Styela clava: one gene and its partners. The protein of the gene in region 1 interacts with the protein of each later gene in a pairwise test. Links are inferred from orthologs where the notes say so. Each region holds a gene or a part of one and is shown on either strand. Other genes may lie near its edges. The genes, in order: huntingtin-like, abscission/NoCut checkpoint regulator-like and osteoclast-stimulating factor 1-like.

Region 1 (3,758 bases):
GCTATGCTGTATACGGTATTAGTGGATGGTGAACTCAAAAAATGTGGTAAAAATGTACCGTATCACCAGCATGACAAAAGATTAAATGCAGCTTAGTCAGTTCATGGAATTCCTAACATATTTAAGCCAGTAACCAAATATACCGGTACTACCGGTATAGTACAGTGGTTCCCAACCTTTCTACCCTGGTGGACCGGTTAAATTAAATTAAATGTACTCGAGGACCGGCAAAAATTGAAATGACCGGAACATAAAAGAATATCGCATATTTGCGTAATACAATGCAACGTCGGGCACTCAATATGCATCTAGACAAAAAGGCACACTTAAAAAAACATCAATTAACTAAAAATTTTGCTGCTGTTTAGTTTCCAATATGGGATTGCAAACGATGCCTCAAGGAAGTTTCTGCAACACGTAGCCCTGCAGCGGCGTGCAACCAATTTCCTTGCTTCGCTTTAATTAAAGCTAGTGATGAAAATATTTTCATTTAAAAGTAATAAAAATATAAGTAACTCGTTGAAAATACGGACAACAGTTTGATTGCTCGATTACTTAGCGATGGGTATTTGTTATCAAGAGATATCCAAAATTGTGACAGTGATTCTTTTTTAAATCTGGACTGTAAAGTAGAATCACAATTTGAATCAAGCTTTTTCATTGGGTTTATCATATTAATCCCTGCCATGGACCATCCCTGCATGGGATTCGAACCTGCGAACCGACGCAGAGTAATTAGAGGTGCGGTGGCGAGCGTATTCCTAACGCTTAGCCCGTTGAGCCACACCGCCGCGGTTGGGAACCAATGCTATGGTATATGTAAAACAGAACACAAGGGAAATTTCTAATTGATCACTAAGCCATCTTATCCCTTTCCTTTCCCCAGGGATACGGTAAATAGAGAAATACCGGTATGTAAATCCTATGCTTTATTGCCTACACTTAACGCTGTAACGTTAAACCATTACCGGTACCGGTCCTATTTGTTTATACCAAACGCAGTCTTACCCAATAAATTAGCCTACCCACGGGCCACGGCATGTCTGTACAGCTGTATGTTGCGCCAAACCGGTACCGTAAAACCGGCTAACTTCGGATGATTTCACTATATTTTGAACAATATCTCCGCCGCATGTTGTTCAACTGAAGCCAAATTTGGAATATAATACATTGTGGCTATTCTCGTCTTGATAAAGTCGGTTCCATATCCATCAAAGCCTTTTTTCATTGAAATTATTGTCTTTATTCGTCTATTCTAAAATTATCTAACTTCGGATGGCCACTTTTCTCTTTGCGTCAACTCGTCGTGAGAGAGAAATGTCTGCGTAAGCAATGACGCGTGACAACGTCGCTGAATAGACCTTACGCCGCCACGACCTGTCTTGCGTGTTGAATACTGACGTTTGTACGTGACGTTACTCTTGCCGCTTCGCGAAGCTTAACTATTTATTCTTGTGTCCTTTATTATAACTCGTATATATTTCACTAACTACTCCTAATTTATTGCAAAATGCTAGTTCGTTCTTTTATGATCGTTTATTTTCAATGCAATAAAAGGATTAGCAAAAAAAAAAAACGGAAGAATTGAAAGTACCTAACACTGGTGTAGGTTGAAATTGAAATGCAATATGGAACAAGTAAAGAATGAACAAAAATTAGACAATTAAAAATAAACGGATGAATCGAATGAAACACTGGCAAAAGTAAAAATTGAAATCAAAAAGCAATATGGAACAAGTAAGGTATGAACAAAAAATCGACAGTTAAAAATAAACAGATGAATTGAAGGAAACGCTGGCAAAATCAAGAATTGTAATCATTTCCACATGGGTTAGACGGGTCTTGTGGAACCAATGTGTTTCGCTGCAGCTTTCGCAACCGACCCATTCATCCTCAATTTCCGTACTTCCATTTGGTTCATTCCATAATCCACAAGCAGAGCAGGTTTCGTCTTGATTATCACTTTTCATATTTTCTGATTTTCTCAGAGCTCCCCGTTGATCGGCTCGGCAGAGGTTCCTGCCCGGTGTGACTTTCGATCCTCGCTTTCGTTTCACTTAATAAAGTCAAATGACAATAAACGGATAAAAACGGCAAAAAGAAACTTTGCCACTTTTTTTCATTTTGCGCCTCACCTGTATGTGGTCCAACCTCCTGCTGTGTGCATGTATGTAGAGTTCTACGCTCACCTGTTAAAGATATTATTATCATCTGCCGATCGTAAACAGACATATCTAATCATTATGATCGTATAGATACATGTTTCAGGCCTAACGTATTACCAATTGCTACGGTATCTATCGGTGTCGGAGGAAGTATGCAAAAACAAAAATCGACAAATTTCATATGCATTAAGCGTATGCATACCCATATTTTTAAATAAACAACATATGACTGAGACGATAGTGATGTTTTTGTAGGATTTAGTGACTAGGATCATGTATAAGCATAATTTTTAAATTTCACAAAACTGGGCGCCGCGATGTCTGGCGTTCAAATGTCGCAGCGAGTAACGCACGAGCTACGCAAAGTGACGTCGGCTACGAAGAGAGAGAACGGGATTTGCGTCGTTGACGTCACGCTGTACGTAATCATCAAAACGTCAATATTTTAATGTAATTTTTAAATCAAAATAACCGATTTCACTCGAATCTCGTACGACACCTTGTGATCACTGTATTTTTTTGTATACATTGTGTACGCTCTCTAGCGCTTGGCGGTGATTTGACGAAGGTAGCGTCTGTAGAAGTCACGATTTGAGCCGCTCGAAAAAACGGTGTCATTTTTTTGGTAAAATATGATTTTTTGAATGATAAAAAATCAAATCGAGCGATTGGAGGCTACGGCAGATTCAGATATGTAAGGCCTTACTATAGAAACCGACAGAAGCGCAATACGACGAAATTTAGTTGAGATATGAATGATTGAAAATTTCATCCGAAGTTACAAAGCATCCGAAGTTAGCCGGTTTTACGTACCGTACCGTAACGGCTTACAACTAATACCGGTATCATTTCAGTCGGCACTACTGCTGTACTGAGTAAACGCTAATCACAGAGCGATTGCGTTGTGAGTTTTCTTTACTGGTACCGGTACCGGTGAGACTTTATGATTTTCACATTTTTGAACACGTAGTGGACATAACGATCGTTTCAATATTATGTTGTTCTTGTTGTTTGACACAGAATAACACACCTAGTGGAAATATTAAAAAACCGCTTTTCTCTTCGAATACCGGTACTGGACCAATTGCTTTGAAATTTTAATTGGTTGAAGATAAAATTTTTTCCCAGAAGGCTATTACTTTTATTCATTTTAAATATTTCTGTTAGCTCTGTGATATTTGTTTTTGTTTGCCATGATGTCGGACGCCATTTTGTGTCCTACTGTACTGCTTCGCTTGGTGTGAACAATGACATTAAACAACATGATAGGCAACTCTGACGTCACTCCATAAGACTACAGGCAAAACATTGTATTTCATGATACGCTCCAATGCACATATTTCTCGTCGCCTTTCGCGTCCGTTTTCCGCTCGCTTTTGCTACTCGGCGTCTTTTTTACGTGTAGTACCTGCCTTTTTGCGCCTGTAACGAAACAAAATAATCTCTATATCTAAGAAGTTTTGCTTACTTGGAAAGCTGGAATAACAGGCAAGCTGTAAAGAGCAATTCTGGACATCATAGACGTTTTTTTTTATCAGAAAAGATTACAAACGCGATAGCGGATTATTTTCTTCAATTTCAAATGCAATTACA
Region 2 (3,758 bases), on another chromosome or scaffold:
CACGTATTCAATTGGTATTAAATCCGATTCATATAACTTTCAGTTGACATGGATTCCATCCATTGCGCAATTTTTTCACAGTTATCATTGTTATTTACTTGATCTGGTAGATTTCCTGTTGAACTGCAGTTTGTTATTTGTGAGCTAGAGATGTCTGCGTCAGCCTTAACATTTCGATCTGCAAGTTGATTATAATAGTCCAAGCCTGCATTAGGCATAATTGTTTCCAATAAAATTCTTTGATCATGTATTGTAGCAGCGACATCTAAATTGTTTGATATCACCTGTAAATTTTTCATTTGTTGTACCTTCGACTTTTCATCATTTTTAGATAGAATAGATCCTCTGTGCTATCTATTCCATTCCATTATGGGGTCTGGTATAGTTTGGTACCACAAGTACTTCCGGTTGGCGTAGCATAACAAATTTTGTACATGTTATTCCTAACCCTCACCTGACTATGTCATCCAAAAATCACGTCACTACGACGTCACAATCACGTCATAGAGCTTGCCAAGTATAGCTACTATCATCTGAAATGGCATCTGCGCCGACAATACCGAACTCACTAACGCTAACGGCCTCTCTCATATCGGGATCGTTGCGACGAGAAAACGAGAGAAATAGTATGCTAGATTTCGGGTGATCGTCTGCGCGTTTTGGGCGACCATCCGCATACTTCGGTGGGCCTTATTACGCCACTGTGACGTCGAAATGACGTAATTTTTTGGTGACATAGTCAGGTGAGGGTTAAGAATGACATATGCGAAAATTGTTGAGCCAGACCAACTAGAAGTGCATTTGGTACTAAACTATACCAGACCACCATTGTGCATATTTGAATGTTCGCTGGACGTTATCCTATGCCCACTAGAAGTACTTGAGGTACGAAACAACTAAATCTTTTTATCCTGATATTTGAAGGGTAAAGTAGTCACTTGACGTATAAGTGGATTTTTAAAAAGTTGTTGGTTATAGGATTATCATACTGAAATAGATTGAACATGGATAAACGTTGCAGGGTTTGCACTTCTAAGTTTGGGATCTTCAGAAAGGAGGTAAGTGATTACAGCACATCATAATTTTCTGATATTTGTTATCAACTAAAAAAATGTGAAACAGCGGCGGTGTGGCGCATCATGTTAAGCGTTAGAAATAGGCTGCCCTCACACCTCTGATTACTGGATACCCTGAGTGTGTTTACAAATTTGGAGCGTGTGAAGAGGTTGGCAATCATTCACCGAGCCCCTCAATAAATTTATAAAAATAAAAATTTTCTATTGGAACTTACAGATATTGTCATATTTGCTGTAATTACCACCTTGTTGCCACATTTTGACGCTACCTTTGTCAAATTTCATTAATGACGTTGTTGGTTATTTGGACAGTTACAAAATTAGCCAAGTCAGTATTTCAATAGGTAAATGAATAGTTTGCGGAGCCTCCTAAGTTTATTTCCCGGAGCTCTGGGCCTTCGTATAGAGCACTTTGTGAACCTATGGATTACTGGATACTCCAGTAATTGCGACTCCACTTCTCTGCTGTACAAAGATCGATCTTCATATCGGCCAATTCATTACATTTGTTTGTTTATGCTATTTCTTTGTAAGAAGGATTGGGGGCTTCCCAGTTTGATATTTTTCACCTAATTTCTGCCCCTTGGGTGAGGTGATGTCATGGAATTTAAACCTAAGAATCTACGATGCCAGCACAGCTAATTTTAAATCCCTAACCACCTTGCCAATTGACAGGTTGAATGTGAACGATGCCGTATTGCACTTTGCAAAGAATGCCGATCGTGTACATTGACCGACCCGAAAGAGCAGAAAACACTTTCCGTTTGCAAGAAATGCCACACCGCTGTGACGTCTGGGAACACAAAGCCTAGACCACGGTCGCCTCCAATGAATTTCAAACGGTATGTAAATGTGTCAACATAATATATTTTTTATGCTTGTACAAGCAGCCAGAGATATGTGAGAATAATAATCCAGCGGTTCTCAACCTTTTTTCTTTCCTGGCCCATTTCTTTCTACGAAAATGGGCGCTTTCACTTGATATTTATAATGAAATTTATCACTCAGTAGCAGAAAACATCATCATCAATCATTGTTACTGCAATTAAAATTAAGGATTAGTGATACAAATCAAACTAGCTATTTTTAAAAGTTTTGTGGCCCATTTCGAAATCTTTGTGGCCCAGCAGTGGGCCATGATCCACTTATTAAGAAGCAGTGATCTGATTGGTTCAGCATTGCCCACTCTGTTTCTGAGTGGGGGTGGTGAGTGTGGGATTATCTTTGTCATTTATTTTATGTTACATCGTGTCTGCCTCTATTGTTACATAACTGTTAATAAGTAGCAATAAAAGTTGACACTACTTGCTGTAATTGGGTGTCTGGCAGTTCATTTATCTTCCGAACCGAGTTTAAAACTAGAATATCGGTTAGAAACCGAAGACTTATCGATCGAAGGTTAGGGGATCCCCCAAAACAGTGGTCTTACTCCATAGTGACACCGTGTGTCCCATCACTAATTAATTAATAACTCGCTAATTATGAGACATAATCCATCCAAAATCAATAGGCTTCTGATCCGAGCTATGGTGAATGCACATGCAAAATTTGGAGCAGATTCCACCTCGCTTTCGTGAGATATCGCGTGCATCTAACACACAGACAAACAGACAGACAAATACCTATCAACATACTTACAGATCTTAAGATCGATAAGTAATAATCCGGCTGATATGAGAAAGAGAAATGCGCTCCTGAAGTATGAGTACCAATGTGGATGTTACAAATTTGTTTGTTCATTTTACATCAATTTGTGTAAAGCGACTAAAAACCTATGGACAGGAGGTATATTCACTTAGCTAACACTGACAGTCCGAGCTCGTAACAGATTAAACTTATGGCCCAACCCCAACCAGGTATGCATACGTTGTGAGTACCCAAGGAATTTAACCCTTTTGTATTTATTAATCAGACCTACCTGATTGCAAACTTTAAAATGTCGCACTTTAGTTTAAGTCCTTGTTTTTCAGTGAAATGGAAGCCAAAGAAAAAATGAACGCACAAAAACGTCATCTGCCCAAACAAACAGTCTCTGTGGAAATGTCAGACGAAGATTTGCAACTTGCGGAACGTTTTCATGATCTTATCGATGAAACTTCAAAATCAAAAGGTAAGAGTTTCAATTTCATTTGTTTCGCTTGTCCCTTTCATCTATTGAAATAGTAGTCTCCCTGCACCTCTTATACATACTTTTCAGACGACCTCCATCACATATATCGCTTCCGTGTTGCAATCCACAACATAGACTCCTACCACATCTTTTATTTACTTCTCACACTCTTTCTGCCACACTTATTTATTTTTAGACTCCCTTCACCCCATATAATCATTTTTAGACTCCTTACACCTTTTTAAATTTCTTTTAAGGTTTTAAAGCCAAGGCCATAAGATTGAGCCATTATATCAGTTTTCCCTTTCTAAAGGAGATCCACAGTATATACAGTATGTGCTCGTTTTGTAGCCCGGGCTTTTTTTTTTTTAACCAAACTCATTAACCGGGCCCTTATTCAAACCGGCCTTATTCAAGCACGAGCGCTTGTTATTTTTAAAGTAAAATTATACACAAAAATATATAAAAAAACATATATATATATAGATAAGATCGATATTGTCATTTCCAGTTCTCAAGTATGATTTAAACGAGAATAACGGAAATTTTGACTCTTTCTACACATCGCAGGT
Region 3 (3,758 bases), on another chromosome or scaffold:
GATAATTCTTTCGAACCAAAAAATAAATCAGCTTTTGTAACGCCTTTTAAGCGGAATGAAATAAAATCGACTTTACAGTCATCTGGAAATGGATCAGTTGGGGGGTCGTTATCTGGATGGGCTGCTTTGAGTGGAAAAACAATTCCCCAACCATCAGCGACAACAAAACAAGTAAAACCTACTACATCTGGGGTTCTATCTTCTAAAGAAAAGCGTGATAAATCTACTAAAATGCCAAAAGTTGGGCCCAAACTTGCTGTATCGGATGCATTTGCCGAAGCTCTTGGAGCTGATTTACCGACAGGAATGGCGAGTTCGTCAAAATCAAGTTCACATAAGTCAAATCCATCGTCATGGATTTCTACTTCTAAATCTTCAATGTTTCCTAAAGCGGCAGCAACCACTAGTCTCGCCAGTGCGGAGAAAAGATTCCAAAACATGAAGAAAAAAGCGAAGTTAAATTCAAAGAAATCGAAGATATGATTTTTTATTCATGACTTCGCAATATTACAGTAATGACTCGGTGATTGGCGAAACAAGACTCTATAATTCATTATAGCCCCAGTAGTTCTCGACTTCCTGGTGGTTGCCCAGGACTCCACTCAGATATCTTTGATTTATGAGTGATTACATGTGAACTTGCTTTGAGCGAATTTCCATTCAAAAAAATTCTGGTGCTAACAAAACAGTAATTGGAAGACTTAAAATAAAATTGTTCTGAGCTTTTCATTTTCAATAACATAACATAGGACTTTACTTGAAAAACTAATTCAAAACTAATCTGCTAACTATCCCAAATTTTTGGTTTCTTTGTGTTTACTGTTTAGATATTTGTTATAGGTTCAAAATGATGTTATAATGTATATGGTTGGTTGTATTGTGAATTTTTCTTGGGAATGACAACTGTAGTCCCAATGAAAGCGCCAAGCCTGTTTTAAAATTCATCAAAAACTCTACATGTTATGTACTTTTGTTATTAAATTTCAAATGCCTAATTTTCTGCTTTTTCCAGGTTCAATTAAATAACAATAGTCTTATAAACTAATTAACCCCTAAACGACCACAAAAATGTCTTCGAAATCAAGGCCACCCCCTCCCAGGCTAGCTCCAAAACCAGGAATGGTAAAGACATTTCGAGCTCTGTATCCTTATGAAGCGCAACAGAAAGATGAGTTGTCAATTGATGAAGGGGACATTATTTATGTGACTGACCAAAGTGATAGCAACTGGTGGAAGGTAGGTGATGAAATTGGTTAATGATGTGTAACTGGTCGGAATAATAGTGGTTGGAGGTAATAGAGCATGACTGGCCGGAATATTTGTAACTGATTTATGTGACTGATCAAAGTGATTGCAACTGGTAAAAGAAGATAGGTGAGGGAAGCTATCCCTGGCTGTCCAAAAAAATTGGAAATTATTTGGATACATTTCAAATACCAATATTCAATATAGTGAATTTTTGATGGCAGGAATAATTCAGAACAACAGAGAAATAATTTTCTTTATATTTATGTTGTTTCAGATACGATCAACATGAAAATAATAAAGTCATTTATTTAATTTTCCATATGAATTTGCCCCCAATTTGGAATGTATTTGACATGCTATATTCCAAAATATTTTTTAGAATGTAAACGGAATAGTGAAATGCACAGTTTTAGCCATCCGTTAATTGACTATGAATCAAGGCGGTAATACAAAATTGCGAATGCCCGAAGTTAAAAAAAAAATGAAAAAATTCCAAAAAAGGCTGCTTTTCTAGTCGTTTTTCTAATCAAAACTTGTGGCTCTTTTCACCGAAGTATTTCGATACAAAATTAGAGATGTTAATCCTCATTTTCTCAAAAATATTTTTTTACAAGTCGTATCATCATTTATTCTGTTTCAGGCAACCTGCAAGGGTAAATCAGGTCTCGTTCCTAGCAACTACATGTCAGAGGATAGCGCTGGAGCGATTGATTTCCCACTTCATGAAGCAGCGAAGCGTGGAAACCTAGATTTTCTTCGAGAATCACTTCGGAATCGGGTTGGAATTAACGGGCAGGATAAAAGCGGAAGTACAGCTTTATACTGGGCTGCTCATAGCGGGCACGGCGAAGTTGCAGATGAGCTAGTACAGAATTCGCTCACCGATTTGAATTCCCAAAACAAGCTCGGGGATACTGCACTGCACGCTGCAGCTTGGAAAGGCCATGATGAAATTGTCCGTCTTCTACTTGAGCGAGGTGCAAACCCATTGTTACAAAATAATGATAAAAAGACACCGTTTGATTTGGCGTCCTCTCCAGTGGGGGCGAGTCTTCTGAAACCAAAAAAATGTAACTCCCTTGGAAGTCTAAGCGATGATTATCTGGGAGATGGTGACGAATCTGATTAACTTTTGCAAGGTCATGAGCGAAACCATATTTTTGTCATATCTATTGATGAATCTTGGATATTTGCACTCTTAAAACTATTTTATCAGTAATTTTTCTCTTTTCAGTTAATATCGGTTCGCTTTGAGAAAACTTGTAGAAAAAACTAAAAATTAGTAACTACTCGTCTCCAGCCTTGCCTACTATTTGATTAGACATTTGGCACTGGTTGCTTCTAACTCAGGGTGATCCAAACCCAGGCCCGCGGGCCACATGTGGCCCGCCGCTTCATTATCTGTGGCCCACATCACCTCGGAGAGTAATCAGAAAATCACATTTTGTGTTGTTTCGTCATAAAATAAATCTTTTGACATATTGTCATCACTAATGTCACTGAATTAAATAGTGTTATGGCTAGCTGAGGAAACTAGCAAAATTGAATGATGTGCTTTTCTAAACTGTTACCTGGCTTTTTAACATTTTGGTCGGGAATATATGCTAGCAATATAGGCATTATAGAAAACTAAAAATTAAATGCGGATTCTATTGGCTATGACTGATAACTATGTGTTTGCGCAATAAAAGTGTTTGTTTTGTATTGCACTGTTTACCTATTCTTGGCACTATTGTGACCCGCGGACCCGATAACCTTGGACCACCCTGTTTTAACTATTCTATCAGTAATCTTTGTACTTCTCATTAATGGCTCATGAGCTTGCTTTGAGGAAACCTGCACAAAAATTGTATGTATAAGTGTTGGTTTGAAAAATTGAATTTTTTTCCTGCTTCTCATTGAATGATTGCCCTAAGCCTTGTTCATGGTGTCCTTGAAACTCCGTACAATTCTGTTTGTAACAATTCTTATTCCATTTTCAGTTTATAAGGTTTTGTGGAATCTCGTAATAATAGGTTTCAAATTTGTGACTGGTTTTCTGAAACCTCATTTACTTTCAGTTAGACCAGCGTTTCTCAAAATTTAGTCACATTTTCGATTTCTGTTCTGTGGAACAATCTGTAGAAGCTCATGAAACACAGTTTGAGAAACGCTGAGTTGGACATTCGGCAGTGGTGCACAAAACTATAATATCAGTACTATATCCATTTTTGTTGAGGCCGAATGAATTTGCTTTAACTAAGTTGCATTAGAAATCCTTGTTAAAAAAGTCAGTATGATTACTTATATTGATTGTTATGTCTACTTAAGACCACAGATTGGATTATAAATTACCAAATTAAATGGACATTTACATTTGCGTATATAACATTCTATCAAATGCTGCACTTTTATCATCATCGACTAATAAATGGTACTCTCTGAATCATGTTTTCGAATTTGTATTTTGTCATTCCATCATTTTATAATTTTGTGTGCATTCCCTGATCAGTGCGGTGTTCTCAACCTTT

Evidence for each region.
Region 2: the proteins of huntingtin-like (region 1) and abscission/NoCut checkpoint regulator-like interact in binary tests that used the Homo sapiens proteins (3 or more experiments, as listed by UniProt). The link is inferred for Styela clava from reciprocal best matches to the Homo sapiens genes HTT and ZFYVE19.
Region 3: the proteins of huntingtin-like (region 1) and osteoclast-stimulating factor 1-like interact in binary tests that used the Homo sapiens proteins (3 or more experiments, as listed by UniProt). The link is inferred for Styela clava from reciprocal best matches to the Homo sapiens genes HTT and OSTF1.

What each region holds. Positions count from the first base shown.
Region 1 is NC_135250.1:24,315,630-24,319,387, forward strand, and holds the start of huntingtin-like, read right to left. Parts: upstream 2,277-3,758; 5' UTR 2,136-2,276; exon of another isoform or gene 2,057-2,135; 5' UTR 1-2,056.
Region 2 is NC_135255.1:23,671,995-23,675,752, forward strand, and holds the start of abscission/NoCut checkpoint regulator-like, read left to right. Parts: upstream 1-902; 5' UTR 903-1,004; coding exon 1,005-1,058; intron 1,059-1,751; coding exon 1,752-1,918; intron 1,919-3,046; coding exon 3,047-3,186; intron 3,187-3,758. UniProt on the Homo sapiens protein: Key regulator of abscission step in cytokinesis: part of the cytokinesis checkpoint, a process required to delay abscission to prevent both premature resolution of intercellular chromosome bridges and accumulation of DNA damage.
Region 3 is NC_135253.1:23,031,180-23,034,937, reverse strand, and holds the start of osteoclast-stimulating factor 1-like, read left to right. Parts: upstream 1-940; 5' UTR 941-1,068; coding exon 1,069-1,236; intron 1,237-1,888; coding exon 1,889-2,377; 3' UTR 2,378-3,758. Other genes in the region: integrator complex subunit 12-like, read left to right, coding at 1-483.